Canis lupus familiaris: one gene and its partners. The main gene of each other region encodes a partner of the protein of the gene in region 4 in a complex. Links are inferred from orthologs where the notes say so. Each region holds a gene or a part of one and is shown on either strand. Other genes may lie near its edges.

The links.
Region 1: the proteins of XPO1 (region 4) and PKIA are in contact, whole or in part, in an NMR structure (PDB 2L1L), measured with the Homo sapiens proteins. The link is inferred for Canis lupus familiaris from reciprocal best matches to the Homo sapiens genes XPO1 and PKIA. Residues at the interface, in NP_003391.1 of Homo sapiens: Val518, Lys522, Leu525, Cys528, Glu529, Lys534, Lys537, Ala538, Ala541, Ile544, Phe554, His558, Lys560, Phe561, Thr564, Lys568, Phe572, Glu575, Thr576, Val580; in NP_006814.1 of Homo sapiens: Asn36, Leu38, Ala39, Lys41, Leu42, Ala43, Gly44, Leu45, Asp46, Ile47, Asn48, Glu51.
Region 2: XPO1 (region 4) and XPO5 share a complex: the UniProt entries of both Homo sapiens proteins name them as parts of the nuclear export receptor complex. The link is inferred for Canis lupus familiaris from reciprocal best matches to the Homo sapiens genes XPO1 and XPO5.
Region 3: the proteins of XPO1 (region 4) and RANGAP1 are in contact, whole or in part, in a cryo-EM structure (PDB 9B62), measured with the Homo sapiens proteins. The link is inferred for Canis lupus familiaris from reciprocal best matches to the Homo sapiens genes XPO1 and RANGAP1. Residues at the interface, in NP_003391.1 of Homo sapiens: Lys245, Ser248, Thr249, Tyr252, Lys253, Glu281, Gln282, Val284, Thr285, Leu289, Met292, Gln293, Gln296, Arg340, Asn342, Leu343, Lys514, Val518, Ile521, Lys522, Leu525, Glu529, Arg532, Lys534, Lys537, Ala538, Ala541, Met545, Phe554, His558; in NP_001265580.1 of Homo sapiens: Ala2, Asp5, Ile6, Leu9, Ala10, Thr12, Leu13, Ala14, Thr16, Gln17, Val18, Ala19, Gln22, Leu23, Ser24, Phe25, Lys28, Glu44, Arg55, Ala561, Thr564, Lys565, Pro566, Ser568, Glu571, Ser572, Ser574, Phe575, Arg577, His578.

What each region holds. Positions count from the first base shown.
Region 1 is NC_049250.1:26,827,018-26,832,621, forward strand, and holds part of PKIA (cAMP-dependent protein kinase inhibitor alpha), read left to right. Parts: intron 1-1,625; coding exon 1,626-1,803; intron 1,804-4,829; coding exon 4,830-4,909; 3' UTR 4,910-5,604. UniProt on the Homo sapiens protein: Extremely potent competitive inhibitor of cAMP-dependent protein kinase activity, this protein interacts with the catalytic subunit of the enzyme after the cAMP-induced dissociation of its regulatory chains.
Region 2 is NC_049233.1:12,220,586-12,226,902, reverse strand, and holds the start of XPO5 (exportin-5), read left to right. Parts: upstream 1-2,866; 5' UTR 2,867-3,054; coding exon 3,055-3,159; intron 3,160-4,782; coding exon 4,783-4,904; intron 4,905-6,255; coding exon 6,256-6,317. UniProt on the Homo sapiens protein: Mediates the nuclear export of proteins bearing a double-stranded RNA binding domain (dsRBD) and double-stranded RNAs (cargos). XPO5 in the nucleus binds cooperatively to the RNA and to the GTPase Ran in its active GTP-bound form.
Region 3 is NC_049231.1:24,910,449-24,916,540, forward strand, and holds the start of RANGAP1 (ran GTPase-activating protein 1), read left to right. Parts: upstream 1-2,510; 5' UTR 2,511-2,620; coding exon 2,621-2,705; intron 2,706-3,086; coding exon 3,087-3,236; intron 3,237-6,092. UniProt on the Homo sapiens protein: GTPase activator for RAN. Converts cytoplasmic GTP-bound RAN to GDP-bound RAN, which is essential for RAN-mediated nuclear import and export. Mediates dissociation of cargo from nuclear export complexes containing XPO1, RAN and RANBP2 after nuclear export.
Region 4 is NC_049231.1:62,837,726-62,843,329, forward strand, and holds part of XPO1 (exportin-1), read right to left. Parts: intron 5,065-5,604; coding exon 4,930-5,064; intron 4,657-4,929; coding exon 4,473-4,656; intron 3,976-4,472; coding exon 3,869-3,975; intron 1,078-3,868; coding exon 883-1,077; intron 1-882. UniProt on the Homo sapiens protein: Mediates the nuclear export of cellular proteins (cargos) bearing a leucine-rich nuclear export signal (NES) and of RNAs.

The DNA of each region.
Region 1 (5,604 bases), on a different chromosome or scaffold from region 4:
ATGATGATGTATGGGTTCCAACTTTTACTTCCCCCGTATTTCTTATCTTTTTTTGAAAAGATTTTATTTATTTATTCATGAGAGACAAAGAGAGAGAGAGGCAGAGACACAGGCAGAGGGAGAAGCAGGCTCCATGCAGGAAGCCCGATGTGGGACTCGATCCCAGGATCACACCCTGGGATGAAGGCAGCGCTAAACCGCTGAGCCACCCAGGCTGCCCATATTTCTTATCTTTTGAAAAGATTCCTTTCTCTTGATTATTGATATGTTCTTAATCTTAAACTATAAAAAATGTAATTGGAATAGGAGGGAAATGATTTCACTTTAAAATTATGTTTAGACAATACAACAGAAATTTATTATTTCTTCTATCCATCTTTCTTTTGATTTTTAGGGAAGAACATAAATTTAAACAGAAAAAAACTAAAGATTTGGTTTTGGTAGTTTTTTGTTAATGCATATATCATATTTTACCCTGAGGGACACCTGGGTGGTTCAGTGGTTGAGTGTCTGCCTTTGGCTCAGGTTGTGATCCTGGGGTCCTGGGATTGAGTCCCACATCGGGCTCCCTGCAGGGAACCTACTTCTCCCCAGGCCTATGTCTCTGACTCTCTCTCTCTCTTTCTCTCTGTGTGCCTCATGAATAAATAAATAAATAAAATCGTTTTAAAAAAGTACCTTGAAAATATTTTATTTCATTGAGTCTTTAAGCATATATATTACAAGTTTGGAAAAGTCACTTTCATTGGCTTTTTTTTTTTTTTTTTTAGGGTGGGAGGGGCAGAGGGAGAGGGAGAAAAAGAATCTTAAACAGGCTTCACACTGGGGTTGATCTCACAACCCTGAAATCATGACCTGAGCTGAAATCAAGAGTGTGATTTAACCGATTAAGCCACCCAGGCACCCCTCATTGACTCCTTTTTAAACTTGAACATTTTATTTCAAAGATTCAGTCAAGAAAGATTGTTATTCCTCTCAAGCAATGACTTAACTAGGGGGCCAAAGGGAGCCATCCTCCTGGACTTGGAGCAGTTATTTGGTCACTGACATTGCTTAGAATTGCTTGCACATGGTGATGATAAAAAGCAAACTGAATTTTGGTTAATTTCATTATTAGACTCTGCAGACAATGTACTTGCATTCTGCTTATCTCTAGGATGGACCACTTCCATTCTGCTCCCAACCTTGGTATGCTACTGATCTCAGGTTCTTCTTTCTGCCTTTGAAGACTGACTGAAATAGTATTAGAGAAGGAGAATTTTATGATCTAAACCAGGTGTCCACAAATTATGGTATTCAGGCCAAATCTGATCCTATTATTATTTTTGCAAATACAGTTTGTTTGACATTTAATGTAATTACTTTAACTACTTTTGCACTACAACCACAAAACTGAGTAGCTGGAATAGAGACCATTTAGCCCTCAAAGCCTAATTTATTTACCATCAGGCCTTTACAGAAAAAAATTCCCTGATGTTTGATCAAGGATTAAAGCATTACTTGCTCTGTGGACACCTAAGCAAGACCATTATTTCACGTTCAGATTGTAGGCCAATAATTTAATAAGTGTCTTTGTTAAATGTTACCATTCACCAACCTTATATTAGTTTTTCTTTGTTTTGTAGTCCCTGCTATGTGGATATTTGTTAGCAATGACTGATGTGGAAACTACATATGCAGATTTCATTGCTTCAGGAAGAACAGGTAGAAGAAATGCAATACATGATATCCTGGTTTCCTCTGCAAGTGGCAACAGCAATGAATTAGCCTTGAAATTAGCAGGTCTTGATATCAACAAGACAGGTGAGTTGCTTGACACACATCTCTCTCTGAACATGGGATGATTTGTAGCATTTCACTAAGTAGGATTAAAACATGAAAAATCACCTTTGAAAGTAATTTAGTAGAGTTATAAACAGTCTAAGGAAGATAAGTCAGGGACTAATCTCTTAATCACTCATACTCCATTTTCAATGACTCTTCTTTATAGGGTTTCCCACTCAAATGCAGAATCCTTAATCTTATTTTGGTAATGCAATCAATAAAACACATAGGTTTTTTAAAAAAATCCTAATCTCTATAAAAGCTCTGAAATTTCTATATAGAATATTTAACAAAATTGGAGCCCTTCAATATCGGCCATCTGTAATATTTCAATAACCATTTCAAAGGCACAGCGTCTCTGGGACCAATTCTATTGAAAAATGGAAGTAAAATTACATCAGTGTCTTTGGTAAAAAGGTCTTACAGTTTTCTTTTCATGATAGAACTAGTGTGTGGAAAATTTGTCTTATTATTGGGCCTTGCACTCTTCCTACCTAAGTAATCAGACTTTACCAATGAAAAAGTAAAACAAGTTTGTAATATCAAAGTATTTCTGAGTATTTCAATAAATCCCAATAGTTCTTTCATTCATAGCTTTTGCAAGATTTAAAACTGGATGTCTTTCCCTAACAAATCTTGTGTAAAAATAACCTTTAAAAGTGAAAAAAAGGAGTTTACCACAGAGGAACCACAAAGTTGTGTACATGAAAAGCACTTAGGAGTTTCTGACTCATGGTAACCACTCAGTACTTCTTTGCTATTAGAATTTTTATGATGGTAAAGCTTTCTGGTTATTGGAAAACGGAGTCAGAGTTTTATGTTAATGAAACAGCTAAACAACATTACCCTAAAATACCTAGGGATAGTACTTTATTCAATGGCTAAGGGTCAGCAGGTCACAGATTGGTCTTTTCAAATTCAAATTGAAAATAAAACTTTACTACCACCACCTTGGAAATATACAGGCTTATGCATACTTTAGGTTTGGTTGTTTCTCTGTTATTTACTACTAGAAGTTACTTAGGAAAGCAGCTGTCAGAAAGGACTTAGGGAATTATTGCAATTTGGTTGCATGAAGTAAGTAAAATTTTTTCTGTGGTCTTTGAGAGTTTGCTAATTTCTTTTATGAGATTTATATTTTTATTTGTAAATAATATTCTATTTTAAATAATCTGCATTAATTTTAGACACCTCTAATATTATTGATAGAGCAGTTCTATTTCTTCCTCTTCAGTCTTCGCTGAAATTAAGACTCATCAGCATTAAGACCTAGCTTATACAAGAGAATATATTAAATTATATAACAAGTGAAATAAATTCATTTCATATTAATAAATATAATAAAATAATTATATTTTATATTAGCAGTATTATTAAACAAGTTAAATTAATTAAAATATCTTTATGCTATCAAATGTCTTCTTTTCTAAACATTTCTATATTTTAATTACTATTCTCCAGGCTCCTAAAAATTTTTGTTTCTCTTCAAATCCTAAAGTCCAGCAACAGGCAAAATATAAACAGTAGTAACTTTTTTATTATTCTAAGTACAAAGAACTAAATATAGTAACTGCAATTATGACAAATATATAATGACAAATGCAATATCAATGGCTGAATATTATGAGGGACTTCTATAATTCTTGAGTGTTTCAACTTCTTTTTAGTTTATACTCAACAATATTGCTGTCCCATGTTTATTTCAACTTTCTAACAAGCACCTATTTAGCCACGAATCTGTGACTGCAGCATTATGCTAAGCTGTGAGAAGAGTTCTCAGACACCTAGAAAGTTCCAAGCTCCATGGAAGTCAAATTCCTCATCTTGTATTTATGCAGTCAGTTTCATCCTTAAATATTCTTCTGTCTTGTATCTGCCCTAATTTGACTTCATTCTTTTGGTTACCAAGAGCTTTTCATATTTATCAAGTTTTTGTTGTATGCTAATCTACACATTTCAGATTCAGGCCATCTACACATTTTGGGAGGCTATTCATTGCTGTAATAATGAAAGTAGTTTGTGAACATGATATATAATGCCTGGTTATACTCTGAAAACCCCTTTAGGAACAGAATATGTATATTTATGTAGAACTGCCTTTAATTTCCTTAAAGTATAGTATCTGGTGAAATGTTTTGTGTATACTCATTAAGAATAAAGGAGAAATTGCCTCTTAACACATCCATTTAAAGAATGGAACAGCCTACTCACCTCTATCTATTTGAATTATGGTAACAAACACTCAGCAAATATTGATATAGTTTATGTTCTTCAAGGGCAGACTGGAGGCCATAACTACTGGCCAGAGACCCATGAGCTAACATAATGTCCCTTCATCTTGTACTGTTGCTTTTAATTTTTTTTAAGATTTTATTTATTTATTCATGAGAAACACACAGAGAGAGAGAAGCAGAGACACAGGCAGAGAGAGAAGCAGGCTCCACGCAGGGAGCCTGATATAGGACTAGATCCCGGGTCTCCAGGACCATACCCTGGGCTGAAGGCAGCGCTAAACCGCAGAGCCACCCAGGGTAAAGTAACGAAACATCTGAGAAAGCAGGTGGGTTCTCGACAAGTAATATAAATAATGTAAAATGCAATTTTAAATATTTCTTAAAATAAGACAGGAGTGAAATAGTAAACTTGCTTCCCATTCTGATTTCTGCCTAAAATCACTTTCAATTTCTGCAACCTGTGAAACTCTAAGTGTCAAAACCTGGCCTTGAGATTTCCTAGCTATTTATCAAAAGCATAGGTGATCACTAAGCACTGTATAAATTATTATTTTGTTTTTGAGCTATGCTGTCCCTAGTTCACAGAACCAGAATTAGCCAGCCTTTGAAACACTAATTGAAGAATTGATTATCAATAAAATACACTTGTCTCTATGAGAACTTCAGACTTTTTGAGTATCTCTTAAATTCCCAATATGATATCTTAAGAGTCAGTAAATATAGACAATAGTTTTTACTTTGCCTTTATCTTTTTCTCATTGTCTCTTACAGAAGGTGAAGAAGATGCACAACGAAGTTCCACAGAACAAAGTGGGGAAGCCCAGGGAGAAGCAGCAAAATCTGAAAGCTAAAGCCCACTTTGATAACTTCAGCAACATCTGACAATGTCTCAAATCTCCAGGCCTGGCTGGAATGCATTTGTTTCCATGAGTGAAAAAGGGGGGGGAAATATAGCTGTGCTGCATTGTAGGAATCTGCTCATTATCATGTTAAAAATGGGGGCAGAGGTTGTGGCTGCAGACAGACTTTTCTCTACCTCTGTCATTAGCAATGGTTGAAATCATGTGGCTTGTGTTTGGATGTCATTTTTGTATGGATCTTTTCACTTGACCATATGACAAAATGCTTGTAGAGAGTAGCACTGACCTAGATGATGATTCTTCCTGTAGCATCTGGCCCCTCACAATGTCAGAGGATTTAATTGTGTCTAATTGCAAAAGGTTGGTTGAACCCCAGAGTTTAAATATCTCTGGTCCAAGTATTCACCCAGTAAAAGAACCATCCAGAAAGCACTGTTTTTTAGCATTATGTATCTGTGTGTTCCTGCTGTGTTATTTACACTGTTTTGTATTGTATAATAGATGCTCAGCACTGCCCCCTTCTTTGATTGCTTATGAGAAACAAAAATAATGTATGTTACTGTGAATTTTTATACCACTCATTTTTAAAAGGGCTGCCTTTTTCCTTCTCCACAGTGTGGTGGTGTACACAGGATAGATCGCACTTTTTTTTTAACTTAATCTTTCCCCATGATTCACTGTTGGTG
Region 2 (6,317 bases), on a different chromosome or scaffold from region 4:
TCAGAACAGGCTCAAACCTACTTATACCAGATGGCTGAAGATGTTAAAACATTTCACAATATTACCCAAATCCTTGAAGAGATTTCCAGGGCTAGCCAAAAAGTCAAGATCACTGACCTATTTTCATGGCTGGACCCTTTCAAATTTGGGACGATAAGTACAGACTGGATTTCAAACTATAGCCTGTATAATTATTCAACCCTTTTAACATACTAGCTATCCAGGCAGTTGATGTCTTCATCACTGACTCTGGCATCACAGGGTAGATTGTTGTGTAAACTCTCACAGTTGTTCCCCCCATCCCTATTTCATAATGCAGATGCCTGATTTAAGCTTGGATTGCTGAGGCATCCACTTCAAAGATGACTATCTTGAATAAACACAGCCATTTGTGTGTGTATATATATATATATATACACACACACACACTATATAAAGACTTTATATAGTGTATATACACTTTATATAAAGACTATATAAAGTGCCAGGCTGCCTCCCCAACCTGAGACTGCTTTGTTTTAGAGTTCTTGGTTGATTTCAATAACTGGCCATTTTTGGGTGCTTGGGCTTTTTGTTTTCCTTTTTCTCTCTTCCTATACTTTAAATTCCTGCTGTTTTTTAATTTAAAATTTTATTTTTAATTTTATTTGAGAGAGAGCATGAGCGGGAGAAGGCAGTCAGGAGGGAAGCGGACAAGAGAGGGAGAAGCGGACTCCCCGCTGTGCAGGGAGTCAGACTCAGGGCTAGATCCCAGAATCCCAATATCATGACCTGAACTGAAGGCAGATATTTAACCGACTGAACACCCAGGTGCCCCTCCTGCTCTTATTTTTTAAATTTACCCACGAAGAGGCACCTGGATGGCTCAGTCAAGTGTTTGCCTTTGCTCAGGTCATGATCCCAGGATCCTGGGACAGTCCCACATCAGGCTCCCTACTCAGCAGAGAGCCTGCTTCTCCTTTTCCCTCTGCTACTACCCCTGCTTGTGCTCTCTTTCTCTGTCAAATAATTAAAATCTAAAATAAATAAATAAGCTCACCCATGAAACTCTTGATGGCCACCCTCAACCCCAGTAAAACCCCCAGCCTGTGCTAGCTTGGTCCCTCACTACCTGTAACCTTGCTGTGTACTCACTGCTGTGTCTTGTGATCTCCAGGGCTTGTAAAGAATAAACTTTTTTTTTTCTTTCAAAGTTTCCTGAAGGTCACTGTTATGGTTTGGACAGAGGAGGTGTCTGTGGGAAGCTCACTGGAGCCCAAGTGAGTGTGCCCCCAAGCATTTCTAACCATGGCATTACCATCGCTAGGCTGAGATAGCACAAAACACACAAATACCAATTAAATTACGATCTCTGGTGGTAGAAGCCAAATATCAATATTACTCAGATGTTATTTAAATTAATTAAAGATAATAGATTGAGCTAGCACAAAACAGGGTGCAACCTGGGCACTGTGATTTTTAAAAGGTCTCCAGGCAATTCTAATATGTAGCAGAGACTGGAAACAATAGACCTCAAGTATATAAGATACTTATGGAAACACCAGTAATTGGTGATTTAAATATGAGACACATAGGTTATACAGTTGAGTAAGCACTCAACTGTACTCTTAAAAAAAAATCACATAAGATTAGTGGAAAGAATACAACAAATTTAAAAATCTGAATAATCAAGGTATTAATTCCTTATAAATTCCACTCACTGAAAACTGGCAGAATGTGTAACTTTAAACATTTGTAAGTTACAACCATAACATGTCAGAAATCACCTCACCATGAAGTGGCTTTTGTGTTGCACTGGAACAGATGGTGATGCCAGAATAAAAATAGTAAACACATTTTCACACACATACACTAAACTTACCAGGGAAGTACCACACGAGATGCAAATGGCAGAAATGGAGTATGAATAGGAAGCAGTGATTTAAGTCCAGCAAACATTTTATTGAGTAAACAAACCCAATATGCAAACTTCAACAGAAAATGAATCTGATGAAGTCTTCAGTTTATGTATTTTGCTGGAGAAAGCAAGAGCTTTTTAAAGATGGAAAAAAATGAAACACACTCGCTGCCAAACCCCCCCCCCTTTTCCGAATAAGGATTACACTGCTCTGAAGTCTTATACGTAGCACTTCAAATGATGCAAACTGCACAAGCCTTCAATAATTGCAATTATTCATCTTCAAATATCTCGACTTATCACCATCTGTACCAAATAAGTTTGGTGCCCGTCAGGCGAGAACACATCTAACGAAAATAAGCACAAGCGAAGAGGGAAGTTTAAGAGCTAGCTAAAATACCACTTTCCCACAAGAAAATTCCTCTCAGGGAACCATACCGGGCCTTTACGTCTCCGTAAGCATGCGTTTGTTTCATCGAATTTTGGCCCAACGTCATCATCAGCCACTGCTACAGCACGAAACCAACAGCCAAGACAACATGAAAAGTCTGCCGAGCGGTTCGAAATTCTCTTACCAATGGGGCAGTCACCTGGAAAAACTGCCAGGCACGGACGCCGGAGATGCCGGGCTCGCTGTCCACTCAAGGAAGACGAAGGCGTCTTGACTATCTGCCCCGTCTCCGGGAGAGGACCAGTCGGCTTCCAGAAACTTATTCCCCGTGATGACGGAGAAACGGACCACGGGTCCCAGACGACCCTGGCTGGGGAAGCCGCCCGCACCGCCCCGCCGGACTAGCCAGGGCTTGCGCGCTCAACAGCCAGCCCTCGGAACTGAGATTAGACAGCGCGCGCGCCGCAAAAGAGCCGTTGGCGCGCCTGCGCACTGCAGCCCTTCCGCTCTCCGCTCCGCCCACCCAGGAGCAACCGTCACACGGGAGCCGCCACTTCCGCGGGCGCGTGCGCAGTGGCGAGTCGGGCGCGTGCGCAGCCCCCGCTCCTTCCAGGCTGGAGCTTCTGCAGCTCACGCTCCTCCTCCCGCTCCCCACCCCCCAGCCCGCCGCGGCCCGGTACCAGCTTGTGGTCCTCCGAAGGGAGCGGTCGGTGCCTCGTGCTCCTGGGACGGCCGTGGTGCGCGCTCGCGGCGCGTGGCACTAGCCATGGCGATGGATCAAGTGAACGCGCTGTGCGAGCAGCTGGTGAAAGCGGTGACGGTCATGATGGACCCCAGCTCCACCCAGCGCTACCGGCTGGAAGCCCTCAAGGTAGAAGGGGTCCGGCGTCCTGGGCCTGCCCCAAGATCCTCCCCTAGCCCCCGCGCCCCCCCCCCCCCCCCGCCCCGCCGCCTGAAGCCCTGCTGGTCTCCCGCCCACGCGGCCCTTGAACCTCCCACTGCAACCCCCGGGGGCCCTTAGCCTTTCCCCTCCTCGCCCTCCGCGCTTCTTCTCACTCGGGCTTTCTCTGCCAGTCGCGCCTGCCCTTTTCTCGGGACCCTCTGGTTCCCTGCTGCTCCTCCTCTCACTACCACTTGCTACTGCCCTCTCTTCTCCTCTCCCCACTTCTCTTTAGTCCTACCCACACCACAGCCCGATGCTTCTATTTTACTACCCCAAGCCCCACGTCCCCTAGCCTTCCCGTGGCGCACGTGCCCGTCACGTACGTCCCCAACACCAGCTACATTCTTTACGGTCTCCCCTGCATTAAACGTTTCCTTGCATCCTCCTGACCCATCCTAGCCGAGCTCCAGCCCCGCTAGTGCCACTTTATTTACATTCTTACCCCTCTCACTAATTCTCTTCTGTGTCTTGGGTTATTTCTGGGCTCATTCTCACACACCCTCCCCCCCACGTTCTTTTACTTGTTCTATTCTCAGGCTATTTTGCGCAAAGATGAACTTCTACCACTTACTTTGCATTTTAACAAGGGCACTTTGGTTTCCTGAAAGTAGTTTTCTTGAGTCCGCATGCTCAGCTCTTGGGACTGACTCTTCTATTGCAGTTTGGGAATGCTAATACAAATTGGGATGGTAATAAATTGCGCACTCATTCCCACATCAAACTACGTGTGTGGATTGTGAGAAATGACCATTAGGAAAAACACTTGTGCACGTTATTTTTTAAAGTTTTTAGTAATTTTAAATGATGTCACATCATTTAAATGTACAGTGAACATCATTTGGAAGGAACTTTACTTTTAACACCATACAGTGTTTGCCACAAGATTTGGAATGAGAAACAGTTGTGTTCTATTTGTTTTTTTGTTATGAAATATTAAAGACATACACAAAAGTAAAGAGAATAATACTACAATGATCTTGTATATACCCCACACCTAAATTAAAGAGTTATAAAAATTTTGCCACATTTGCTTCCCACCCCCACTCCTCCCTTTTGTTTTTTTAAATCAAATCCTAGAAGTTGTCATTTCACCCCTATATACTTCTGGAGTACATCTCTAACAAATAATTTTTAACTCCTATAGGTCAGACTATTTTCAATGTTATTGGCCAGGGCATGGCAAATTTGTAACTATCAAAGTGAAAGGAATGTTTATCAGTTCTTTTTTTTTTTTTTTTTTAAGATTTTATTTATTTATTCTTGAGAGACAGAGAGGGAGAGGCGGAGACACAGGCAGAGGGAGAAACAGGCTGCAGGCAGGGAGCCCGACATGGGACTCAATCCCTGGACTCCAGGATCATGCCCTGGGCCAAAGGCAGGCGCCAACCCTCTGAGCCACCCAGGCTGCCCAGTTCTTTACTCATATACTATTGATCTAGATTTTGCATTTTAAATATATAGCTCAGGTGGAGAAGATGAAGTTTTTTAAAATTTTTTTAATCCCCACTGTCTCTTGCATCCTAAGGGAAATACTAACTTTTGTTGTTGCAGTTCTGTGAAGAATTTAAAGAAAAGTGCCCTATCTGTGTCCCCTGTGGCTTGAGGTTGGCTGAGAAAACACAAATTGCCATCGTCAGACATTTTGGCCTTCAAATCCTGGAACACGTTGTCAAGTAAGGAGCTTTTGGACAGTACCATTGAAGTCTGTGAGAGAGCAAGTCTTTATTTCTTATATAACTCCTAGAGATAATCTTTAGGTGAGCAGAGAAGATCAATCACTGAGAAGAAAGGAATGATTTCCCAAGAGATTATCATAACCTCAAGAGTACTCTTATTCAAGACTTAACCTTTCTCTTCTTCAGTTTCTTCATCCATGTAGAATACATACTAAGTACATACTAAGCATTCTACAAATATGAGCTGATAGTGGTTCAATCAGTATTGAGCTCCCACTGTATACCAGCAGATCTCAGAGTCTTTTTAAAATAATAGAGTGTATAGGTAATTATTTATTTATTTTTGTATAGGTAATTAAATCTCTGATTAGGCATTGCGCTTTTAAATTTTTTTTTAAAGTTTGAGCATGTTCCTTCTCTGAATGGCAAATCCAAAGCAGAATTATATGAGAAAAACTGAAAACCCTTCCTTTTTTTTTTTTTTTTTTAATTTTTATTTATTTATTCATGATAGTCACAGAGAGAGAGAGAGAGAGGCAGAGACACAGGCAGAGGGAGAAGCAGGCTCCATGCACCGGGGGCCCGATGTGGGATTCGATCCCGGGTCTCCAGGATCGCGCCCTGGGCCAAAGGCAGGTGCCAAACCACTGCGCCACCCAGGGATCCCTGAAAACCCTTCCTAACTTGAGTCTTCTACCCCTAGCATCTCCCAAAAGAGTCAGCTTTAAGACTTAGCCACAGTCTTTGTGGGATTGTGCTGTTCATAAATAAGCCAGCACATTAAAAAAAAAAAGAGAGAGAGAGAGAGAGAAGTTAGTGGTATCAATAATGTGTTGTTTTTTTTAAGATTTTTTTATTTGACAGAGCAAGCGCACAAGCAGAGGGAGCAGCAGGCAGGGGGAGAGGGAGAAGCAGGCTCCCCACAGAGCAGGGAGTCTGATGCAGAACTCGATTGCAGGATGCTGGAATCATGACCCGAGCTGAAGGCAGATGCTTTACTGACTAAGCCACCCTAGCACCCCAACATTGTAGTTTCTGAAAAGCAACTATATTTGTTGTAGTTGTCCCAGGTAGATATTTGCTTTTGGTCTATCAGTAAAATCAGCTAATCTGTGTACAAATCCTGTAAATTTCAGTTAGTGGACCACTTCTTATACAGAACTTTTTCTCAAGAATTTTTCTGTTGTCAGCATTTTAGTTGAACATGGACTGTTCTTGTCCTTTCTTTAAAGGTACAAAATCAGAAGTATAATATTTTAGTTCACTAACATAATATAACAGAATCAAAGCTAGTCTCTTTTGAAGACTTCTAATGTGGTTCTCTGACCTTACGCATTTTGGTGGCCAGGTTTCGGTGGAACAGCATGTCTCGATTGGAGAAAGTCTATCTGAAGAACAGTGTCATGGAGC
Region 3 (6,092 bases), about 38 Mb from region 4:
GGGAAGGTGTGGCGCCCCTGAGCGCCTTCGGGGGGGTGTCTTCTGGGCCTTCTCTCCCTGCGCTCTTGCGGCTGAGCGCGGAGGGGCTGAGAGCGGAGGTGCTGGGGGGCGCAGGCCCCTTTCGCAGATGGGGAAACTGAGGCTTGGCGAGGGCGTCTGGCGCAGCTGCCGGCACTGGCGTCCCTCCTTGGCGTCGGTGACAACTGGGGGCGGTGCGCGGCCTCCCGGGCTCCCGGATGGGGCTCCCGCGCCTCCCGCCTGTCATTTGCGGCCCGCGTCGCGCGTCGCTCCGCTGCCGCCGCTTCCCAGTGGCCCCACGCCCGCCGAGGGCCCGGGCTGCCGCCGTGGCCGCGGGATCGGCCTGAGTCGCTGCGGACGCTTCGCACGAGCGAGAGATGTGCACCAGAGAAAATCTGCGGCTTTGGTGCCGGGAAAGGAAAGCGCTGTTGGCGTATCGCCTGCCTGTCTTTGCTCTGCGGCTGACCCTGTGCAGACCTTGGACAGCTCAAGTACTCTCTGTGCTTTGGCCTCCTAGTCTTTAAAGTGGATGGTGCGTGCGTGTAGTGGACTGAGGAATAGGCCCCTTTCCAGCAGAGGAGTTGTGTGTTCCAGTAGGAACGTGTCTGGGAGCCCCACCACCATTTTTTTTTTTTTTTTTTTTTTTTTTTGCCGAAAATTGTCCCATTCCCAGAATTGCAAGTGGTGGCCGGGTTTCAGGCTAGGGTCCCCCCCCCCCCCCAGCTTCATCTCTTCATTCTTGGGGGACCTTCTAGATGTCAGGCCCTAAGTTGCTGTCAAAACATCTGTCAGAGTCTGGTCTTCTCTGCTAGAAACCCACCAGTGGCTCTCCTTTTCACTCAGTAAAAGCTGCATTCTTTAAATGGCCTTTGCAACTTGGGCCTCTTGCTGATTCTCTTTTCTCATTTCTTGCTTTTTTTCTCCTTTCCTCTTCTGCACTCCAGCCCCACTGGTCTCCTTGGAGTTCCTCGGATCTCTCCTTCCCCCCATGAAAGCCTTTGCTTTAGCTATTCTGTTTGCAGGAATGCTCTTCCCCCAGATATCTGCCTGGCTCAATCCTTGATGACCTCCAAGTCTTTCTTTCCTAATATCTTCCTAACCATTCTGGTTTGTTGTTATTGTGGGTCTTTTTGTTTGTTTGTTTTTTAAAGATTTTATTTATTCATGAGAGAGAGAGAGAGAGGCAGAGACAAGGCAAAGGGATAAACAGGCTCCATGCAGGGAGCCCAATGTGGGACTTGATCCTGGGACCCCAGGATCATGCCCTGGGCTGAAGGCAGTGCTAAACCCCCTGAGCCACCCTGGCTGCCCTGTTTGTTTGTTTTTAACCTAGGTACTATGCCCATCCTGGAGCCCAGCATGGGGCTTGAACTTATGACCCTGATATCAAGTCCAGAGCTGAGATCAATAGTTGAACACTTAACCAACTGAGCCATCAGGTGCCCCTCTAACCAATCTGTTTTATTTTTATTTTTATTTTTATTTATTTATTTATTTTTGGACCAATCTGTTTTAAATCGCAACCCCCTCGGGGCACCTGAGTGGCTCAGTGGTTGAGCGTCTGCCTTTGGCTCAGGGCGTGATGCCAGGATCCCAACGTCCTGGGATCGAGTCCCACATCAGGCTTCCCACAGGGAGCCTGCTTCTCCCTCTGCCTACGTCTCTGCCTCTCTTTCTATGTCTCTCATGAATAAATAAAATCTTTATAAATAAATAAATCGCAACCCCCTTAAAACTCCTTACCCCCTTCTCCGTTTGTTTTTCTTATCACTTACACAAATAAGATTCCACATGTCTTATTTAGAACACATGTTTTAAGAGGTGCCCAGCTAGCTCATTTGGTAGAACATGTGACTCGATCTCAGAGTTGTGGGTTTGTGACCCATGTTGGGCATAGAGATTACTTAAAAAAATAAAATCTTAAAAAATAAATAAAAATAAAATCTTATAAAAAAGAGAGAGGGCAGTATTTTTGCTTCATTCACTGCTTGGTTCTGGTATCTAGAGCAACGTCCAGAACATAGTAATACCCAATAAATGTTTATTGAATGAATGAGTGGTGCCTTCTTATCTAGGAGAATAATTCATACATATTTGTAAAAATTGGCAAGCCAGGGTGATCAGGGTTAAGATAAGGAGAAGGAGGTGGGAGGCTGGCTATAGGAGCCCAGAGGAAGCCTGGGGGGAGTTGGAGGATTGGGGAGCCATCACAGTTGTATCTTGAGGACGAATAGATTGGGGAAGGACATGTTCTGGGTAAGGAGTTTTTGTGGGCCCTTCCTCGTTCTGTCTTCCATATCCATCATCCTTGGTCTCCCCTGATGACCTGCCATTTCCTCTTTAGGGAAATGGAGTGGTCTTTCTGCCAATCTGCCGAGTTCTTCCAGGCCAGAAGCTCCTTTCTTCAGCAGCTCTGCCCTTGGTCTATTGTGATGGTGGCTGTTGTGATGTAGAGACCTCTGGTCTCCTAGGAACCCCTGAGGTTTGGCCACCATGGATTGCCCAGTCTTCTGGCTAAGGTTGAAACCAGACGGGCAGTGGGCTGACACCTGTGCCCCATCCCCAGAGACATGCCAGCGTGGGAGGTGGGGCATTTCGCGGGATGGATAACCTGGATCCCTTAGCCATCCTAGTCCTGTTTGAGGAATGGGACCCTCAAACAGAGAGCAGCCAGGATGATCAGGCAGGTGTGTGCCTGGAGTAGGCTCTTTGCATTGCAGCTGTTGGTCTGGGCCCAACTACCATTCACTGGGAGCCCAGAAGATGGGCAGCTCAGATGGCTGTGCTTGGTGTTCCAGCTGGGGCCATTGGGGCAGGCGAGGAGTTAAAATAAGCTAGTAATCCTTCAGGGGCTAAAACATGATTTTACTACTCTTGCCACTTTCTCCACCTTTCTAGAATTGTTCCTTACCTAATAGTGTTTTCATTTCTCCCAGTAGTTTAGCTGTTGGAGTCTCCATGGAGGAGGGGGTGTTAAGCCCCTGAAAGGGCTGATGTCCTACCCGGCCCTCCCCAACCAGGGGGCCCCAGGAGACTCCTGTCTCTTAATGAAACTTCATCCTGCTCAGTTTGCAGATTTCCGGGGGAGCCCAGCAACGTGGCCAGCATGGCCTCTGAAGACATTGCCAAGCTAGCAGAGACACTTGCCAAAACCCAGGTGGCTGGGGGTCAGCTGAGTTTCAAGGGCAAGAGCCTCAAACTCAACACTGCGGAAGATGGTGAGTTCCTGCTTGGGCTGGCCCAGGGGAGGAAAGAGTGTGTGCCAATGACTCTTGTTCCAGCTTGTTTAGCTACATTATCACGTTGTTTGTTACCTAGTAGCTCTGTGAGATAGTTTTGGGTCCCTTTTAGAGTGAGGCTCAAAGATGTGCCCACAAGGACATATATAGGCTTCCCTGCTAGTCATCATGTTTTTGGAGGCCATCCTTGCTGGTGACAGCTTAGGTTGGCTGGTGGAAAGGGCCACTTTATGTCTTAGTGGGAGGAGATAGTAAACAACAAAGGATCACAACAGCAGTGTCAGGGTATAGTCCCTGACTTCTTACTTCCCACCTTTACCACTATGATCCCAGACTGGTTTTGGGAATACTGGTTGGCTTTCCCAGAGGTAAGGCCCTCTTGGGAGGTCTGGTCCGTGCAACTGAATGCCCCTGGAAGAGGGAGGGATGTTCTTGTCCTAGGAACCAGGACTGTAGGGAATTAGGAAGCAGAATGCAGGCCTTGTCTGTTCATCCCTGGCCAAAGCATGGCTAACACTGGTCAACCCTGAATCCCCTGACGTTTGGAAGTGAAGGCACCTACGCCAGCACTTGCAAGGACTCTTGAGGTTCTGGCCCAACCAGGGAAACTGGTATGGACTTGCCCGGTTGTCATGGATTGCAGGCAAGCTTGCTCACCTGCCCTGCCTCAGAAACTGGAGTTCTCAGGTTGTCAGGAGCATGGCAGTGCACATTCCTGATGTCTCTGAAGGGCCTTAACATTTACAGAGTCCCTCCCTGTGCTGTTATCACTTCCGATCACACGTCATCCCTGAGGGGGGGATGTAGAAATGTTACCATTTTATAAATAAGGAGAAGAGATTTGGAAGACCTAACTTGTCCAAGGTCATCTAGCTGGTAAGTAGCAGAGCTGGGATTTTAACAGAGGTCCAGCTAAGTCCCTATTCTTGTGTTTGTCAGTAGACAGCTCAGTTCAGTAAAGATGAATTTGCTTTTTTTTTTTTAAGATTTAAAAAAAAAAAAAAATATTATGTATTCATGAGAGAGAGAGAGAGAGAGAGAGGGAGAGAGGCAGAGACACAGGAGGAGGGAGAAGCAGGCTCTATGCCGGGAGCCGATGTGGGACTTGATCCCAGGGCCCCAGGATCGCGCCCCGGGCCAAAGGCAGGCGTTAAACCGCTGAGCCACCCAGGGATCCCCCTTTTTTTAAGATTTTATTTATTCACGAGAGACAGAGAGGGAGAGGGAGAGGCAGAGACACAGGTAGAGGGAGAAGCAGGCTCCATGCAAGGAGCTCGATGCTTGATGGGACTCGATCCTGGGATTCCAGGATCATGCCCTGGGCCAAAGGCAGGTGCTAAACCGCTCAGCCACCCAGGGATCCCCTGAATTTGCTATTAAATTCCATTCCCTGAATGCTGAGTCAGGCATTCTTTAAGTGCCTGACTTAAGGAAGTTTATCCTCACAAAAGTCCTTGAGGTAGGTCTCATCCCCATTTTGTAGATTGGAAAAGTGAAGCCCTGGGAAATAATAGGACTTGCCTAAGGGCACAGATACAGGTAATGGAGCTAGGATTAGAGCTCAAGCTTGTCTAGCTTTAAAATCTGTGCAGATCACTAATTAACCAGCTCAGGCTGGACATGTTGCCTCCATTTTCTTGGTCACCAGGGATGCCCAGCTTATAGCCCCGGCCTCTGAGGACCTCCTAAGATGGAGTAGGAAGGAGGTACTCAACTGCCAGGGGGTAGAAGGTGAAGCATACTCTGAGCAACGTGAACAGAAAGCTGTGGGAAATACGGCAAGGGAAAGGGATCATTTCTGGTTTAGGAGGGCCCCGGAAGTCCCCATGGATAAGGTGGTTGAACTGTCATTGTAGGGGAGAGGGCAGTAGACGCAGGGAGTATCATGTGAGGGGAGGAGCTGAGACACATAGGGTGGGCTTGGGCGAGAAGGAATCAGGGTGCCATAGGGAGCCCAGTGCAGACAGCCTTGAATGTAGTGTGGAGGAGTCTGGCAGCTGGACCCTGGGCCCAGAAAGGGCCTCCACCTTGGCTGGCAGTGAGCTGGCATAGTCAGGAGAGGGCAAGGCCTGTATGAGGAAGCCATGATGCTTGGAACAAGGCTCTTCTCTCCCCAGTAAGTCATTTAAGGACCAAGGAAAGGCCTTTCTGCTTTCCATGGCTGCATAGTAAACACGGATGTTACTTTGTGAGGCGGTGGAGGCTGAAAGGCAAGCCCTGCCGCTCAGCCTCTTGACAGCTGGTTATTCAGGAGTGTTGGGACACATCCCTAAACCACATTTGAGTTACATGGAACCCCATTTGGATTGAAAACCAAGTGAGAGAATCCACTCAGCAGTGGTCCCCACCCTTTCCTGTCTCTGCTTGTCCGTTTTGGTGCTTATTCTTCCAAACTCGCCATGTACCTGTGACTCTCCCCAGGATTGAACTTGTGCACAGAACCTGTGTATCTCCATACTTCTCTCACTGATACGGCATAAGTCTTCCCTTGGGGTCCCTGGCATCTCTGTTGCCTGGCTCTTAAGGACTGCATAAACATTCCCGTGAGCAGGTGTCCTGCCTCCTTGCTAACCTGGCCAATCCCTGGATGTTAGAGGGGCTCTGTTTTGGAGCAGGTCTTCCAAAGGGCTGAGAGATTATTTCAGCCCTTGCACCGTGCACTTTGTGCCAGCTACAAAGGACATCTGGGCACCTGGGACCCAGGGGAGGAGGGGAGGGACTTGGCTCCTTGCAGGGGTTGGGGGAGTGCTGTATAAAGTCCATGATTATGCACGGAAGCAAGGATTTGGGGAGGAGCACAGGGGTAGAGTTTTAGAAGACCAGTCTGAAGCATAG
Region 4 (5,604 bases):
GCAAACCTGAAATCAACACAATTTGCCTCTCATGGAAGATGTAATTACCACTGATTACACAAATGAATTACTAAAAATAAGGACTACAAGGTCCCATTATAAGGAGTCAAAACCCATAAAGAACATATTTTCAAGTTACTCTTAAGAAAATTACTACCATGTTATGATTCTGACTTCAAGATCACAAATATAGATCCGAGAATTTTTAGCTACTGTGTAAATTTGTGGACTTAGATCTACATTTTCCTATCTTACTTAATACATTTCCCCATTTCTTGTGTGTGTGTATATATATACACATATACATTACTGAATATAGTTTTTATGTAAATTTACTATTTTGCAGTTAAGATTGTTTTAAGATTTGAGGGAGTACATGTGAATTGGGGGGAGGACCAAAGGGAGAGAATCTTCAACAGACTCCTTGCTGAGTGTGGAGACTAGACTTGGTGTGTTACCTCACCATTCTGAATTCAAGATCAAGATCAAGCGGAGACCAAGAGCAGAAGCTCAATCAACTGAGCCATCCAAATGGCCAAAGATCTTTTTAATAGTAAATACATTTTTTTAAAGATTGTATTTATTTATTCATGACAGAGAGAGAAAAAGAGAGAGAAAGGGGGGCAGAGGGAGAAGCAGTCTCCACACAGGGAGCCTGACGTGGGACTCGATCCTGGGTCTCCAGATCATACCCCAGGCCGAAGGTGGCGCTAAACCACTGGGCCTCCAGGGCTGCCCAATAGTTAATATTTTTAAAAGTACTTCTCTGGTCTAAATGTTCAAATATTTAAACTAGTTAATCCCATAGCTATCATTTATGCTTTCAAGTCTTACAAGGATACATAATGCAGAATTTCCCATACTGAAATGTAAACCACATACCTTATTTATCATATTCAATGTGCATTCAAAAACAGCATCAAATATTTGAGGTATTTCAGCTGTTATATGTCCTCCTAACTTGTTGACAATAATAGCCATAGTACTAAGCACTTCTGGTTCTCTAGCAGCTGGTACATTTCTCTGATAATCAATGAGAACTGCATCCAATAAAGGAGGAACAAAATTTTCAGCTACCTGTTAAAAAAAAAAAAAAACTTTACCCAAGTTTTTTATTTATTTTTTTTTTAAATTTTTATTTATTTATGATAGTCACACAGAGAGAAAGAGAGGCAGAGACACAGGCAGAGGGAGAAGCAGGCTCCATGCACCAGGAGCCCGATGTGGGACTCGATCCCGGGTCTCCAGGATCGCGCCCTGGGCCAAAGGCAGGCGCCAAACCGCTGCGCCACCCAGAGATCCCCCAAGTTTTATCCTATGCACTTGCTTACCATCATAAACAGCTAGGTCAATGTTATATTGAAATTTAGGTTGAATATCTGCTTAAAACTGGAAAATCCCACGTTTTATTTTTTTATTTTTATTTTTTTTTAATGATAGGCACACAGTGAGAGAGAGAGAGAGGCAGAGACACAGGCAGAGGGAGAAGCAGGCTCCATGCACCGGGAGCCCGATGTGGGATTCGATCCCGGGTCTCCAGGATCGCGCCCTGGGCCAAAGGCAGGCGCCAAACCGCTGCGCCACCCAGGGATCCCCCACGTTTTATTTTTAAAAAAAAAATTTAAAGGTTGTTTATTTGACAGAATGAGAGCAACAGGCCGCCCACTGAGCAGGGAGCCCAATGTGGGGACTCAATCACAAACCTTGGGATTCTGACCTGAGCCAAACGCAGTTGCTGGACCAACTACCTGAGCCACCAAGTACCCCTAGAAAATCCCGTTTTTTAATTTGGTTTTGGACATTAAGACTTTTTACCAAAAGAAACCAAGGAATTATAATAGGCTGGGAAGAGCCACAGATATATTGATATTTCAAATCTAATTGCTAAGGTTAAACTAAGGCCCAAAATGAAGTTACTGGCTACACGTTACTATGGCAGGGCCAGGATTTTAGGGATATGTTATATGGGATAACTTACCTAAAAGAAAAGAAAAGCCCTCCTAATCAATACTGCATTAATTTTGTCAATGAATATCTATAAAAACCAAGCAGCGCATATCTAATACAAAGTAGACATCCATTCAATGATTTTTATTAAACTTAGTGAATGCTAACTGGTAAATACTTTAATAAACAAAACCCAAAGCCACCACTTACTCTTGTAAAAGGAATTAGAACTGTACCAGGAAGACATGAGTCTCAGTAAACAGGGTCATATTAAGGTGTAGCTTTATGTGTCTTTAATAGGTTCTTTATTACCATATGGACAATAAACAGTGTTTCTTGTAACAAGGTCACTAGTGTTAGTAGTGTCCTACTTACTATATATAATACAAGTCTAGTAAAATTTTAAGGATAAGCACAATTATTTTTCCAATAACCCACTTGATATCTTAGACCAGAACTGTTCTCATTTTACTTTTAACACTTCAGTAATTCTTTCCTAACAAGATGGATCTTAAGTGTGTTTATTTTTTTTAAAAAAAGATTTTTTTTTTTTATTCATGAGAGACGCAGAGACACAGGCAGAGGGAGAAGCAGGCTCCATATGCAGGGAGCCTGGTGTGGGACTCAATCCCGGGTCTCCAGGATCAGGCCCTGGGCTGAAGGCAGGCGCCAAACGGCTGAGCCACCCAGGCATCCCTGTTTTTGAGTATTTTTTTAATTCACCGCCCCATTCAATACAAATCTTGGTTGTAAATTGATACCCTCTCATTATTATCACTGATACTCCTAAAATTTGCCCAAGCTACTCTAAATTGTGAATTTCACATTCCTTTAATTCATCTTATCTTTGTCCAGTTTTTTTTTTTAAGACTTTATTTATTTATTCATAGAGACAGAGAGAGAGGCAGAGAGAGAAACAGGCACCATGCAAAGAGCCTGATACGGAACTTGATCCAGGGTCTCCAGGATCACGCCCTGGGCTGCAGGCGGCGCTAAACCGCTGCGCCACTGGGGCTGCCCTCCAGTTTTATTTCTTAAAAAAGATTTTATTGATTTATTCATGAGACACACAGAGAGGCAGAGACATATAGGGAGAGAGAAACAGGCTCCACACAGGGAGCCTGATGTGGGACTTGATCTCAGGATTCCAGGATCATGCCCTGGGCCAAAGGCAGGCACTCAACTGCTGAGCCACCCAGGCGTCCCCTCTTGTCCAATTTTAAATACATTTCTGATCTCATAATACACTAGTTTAAAATCTTTCAACATTTATTATCTTGAGAATTCCACAACTGTCTTCTGAACAAGTTCCCTGAAAAATATCTCATTTGTTGGAACAAACGCAACAGCACACTTGTCAACCAAAGATTAACGTGATAGATTCTTTGTAATGTTCAAGGATCAAGACAATCAGTGGTAGAATAAATCAAAAATACACGCTTTAAAAAATAATAACCCACATTTTCCCATGTTAAGGCATATATGGAGTATGGTTGAGTTTCTGAAACCATTTTCTTTTCTGGAAATGATTAAAAACTTAAAAAAAATTAAGAGTAAAAGAGATTTCTAAGCATTCCACTGGGAAAGCCCTTACTCTCACTTCAGAGTCAAATTAATGACAGCTTTGTAAACTGCTCTGAAGAATCATGAAGAAACAAAAAAATTTCTCCCAAATGTCTACCTATCCACAGGGGGTGAAAAATGACCCAAGCTATCTTATTAAATATCACCTTGTTAGTGTCCTCCACAAACAGCAATTTCTTAGGAATATGGTACATAATATTTTCAAGCATTCAAGGACTCAAAAAATAGGTCATTGTAAAATAAGCCCAAATATTTCCCTCGAAATTACCTTTAAATGAGCTATGTGCATAGACCAGAGAATACAGCATCAACTTAAAAAGCAAAACATTTCACTTACCATCTGTGGATCATTGGACCGGCTCACCCAACCGGATATTAACTTTAAAGTTTCCCTTTTTACCGTTCGCATACTTCTAATCAATGGTTGCTTTGTAACCATCTCGCCTAAAAAATACAATCCAGTGAAATCTAACTTGACAACTACAACTCTACATTGGCAGTTACATGTACTTCAGATATAATAGCTCCCATTTACCACCCAAAGGCATAAAGGCAACGGGCACACAGATGAATGTACTGGGAAAATAAACGAAGACTAATTTTAGAAGGAAAAGGTATATGCAACTAGTTAAAAATAATTGTCATTTGGAACATTGGGAGAGTTAACTTAAATCTTTGAGAAATGAACATTGAATGTAAAAAAAAATTTTTTTTAAGATTTTGTTTATTCATGAGAGAGAGAGAGAGAGAGAGAGGCAGAGACATAGGGAGAGGGAGAAGCAGGCTCCGTACAGGGAGCCTGACGTGGGACTAGATCCCGGGACTCCAAGATCAGGCCCTGGGCTGAAGGCGGCGTTAAACCCAAGCCACCAGGCTGCCCAAGACTGAATGTAAAATTGATTTGCTATTCACCAATTCCACAAAAATTCAGAATCACTTACCATTAGCTTGGATAGCTGCTGAAATATTTTCACTGAGGCACTTGTATACATTAAGCATATCTAAATAAATTCTCCCAAGTTGAATTACAAAGGGGTGTCCGACAGCTTTGCAGGCTCTAACATTTGTTTTCAATATGCTACCAAGCTGCTTGACAGTTTCTGGATCTTTAAGTATATCCACATTCTGTGAAGGACAAGTAATAAATTTCATTTATCACATGAAAATTTAAAGCAAAAAATACTACCCACACCTATTCCAAAATCACTACCACATTTACAATGCAAAATAGGGAAACACAGAAATCTTTATTACCTGTAGCTACAACTATGAATAGATTAACATTCCCAATATACCATCAAATCAGAAAAAAATGACAGTATAGTTTTTGTTACTTTTGAAAATAACACGATCTTCTTGAATTCCATTTGAACTTTGATAAAAAGGAGTAGAACTTACTTTGGTTGCCTGCTGGATTATGCTATCCCAAACCTGATTAGGGAGTAGCATGTATTTTTCTATCAAATGTTCTTGTACTGTTTGGTCTGTTTGTGCACCAATCATGTACCCCACAGCTTCATAAAATGTATGGACCTATGTAAAATGGCAGACATTTTATGTTTATGCATCATAAGGATAACCACAAACAACCAACTTACATATGTATTAGACCTTCTTTTTTGAGTCTGAGAAACAACTTACATTAGGTAAGAAAATAGCCTAATAAACTTCTGGCTAAATTTTTGTCCTACAATGAAAACTTAATGACTCCAGCAGAGATGTGGGTTGGGGAGATAGGTGATATAGGTGATAGGGAGTAAGTAGTGCACTGGGTAATACATGGAATTGCTGAATCACTATATTGTACACACATAACTAATATAATACTGTATGTTAACTATACTGGAATTTAAAAAAATTTAACCATAGATGTATGTTGAATGAATCCAATGGTGTTACTCTATTGCCATTTATGAATTCTGAGTAAAATACTAGTCATGAGGTGCCTGGGTGGCACAGTCAGTTAAGCATTCAACACTTGGGTTTTGGCTTGGGTCATGGTCTCATGGTCCTGAGATTGAGCCCTCCCACCCACCATGTACTCTTACTCTAATAAACAGACCTTTAAATAAG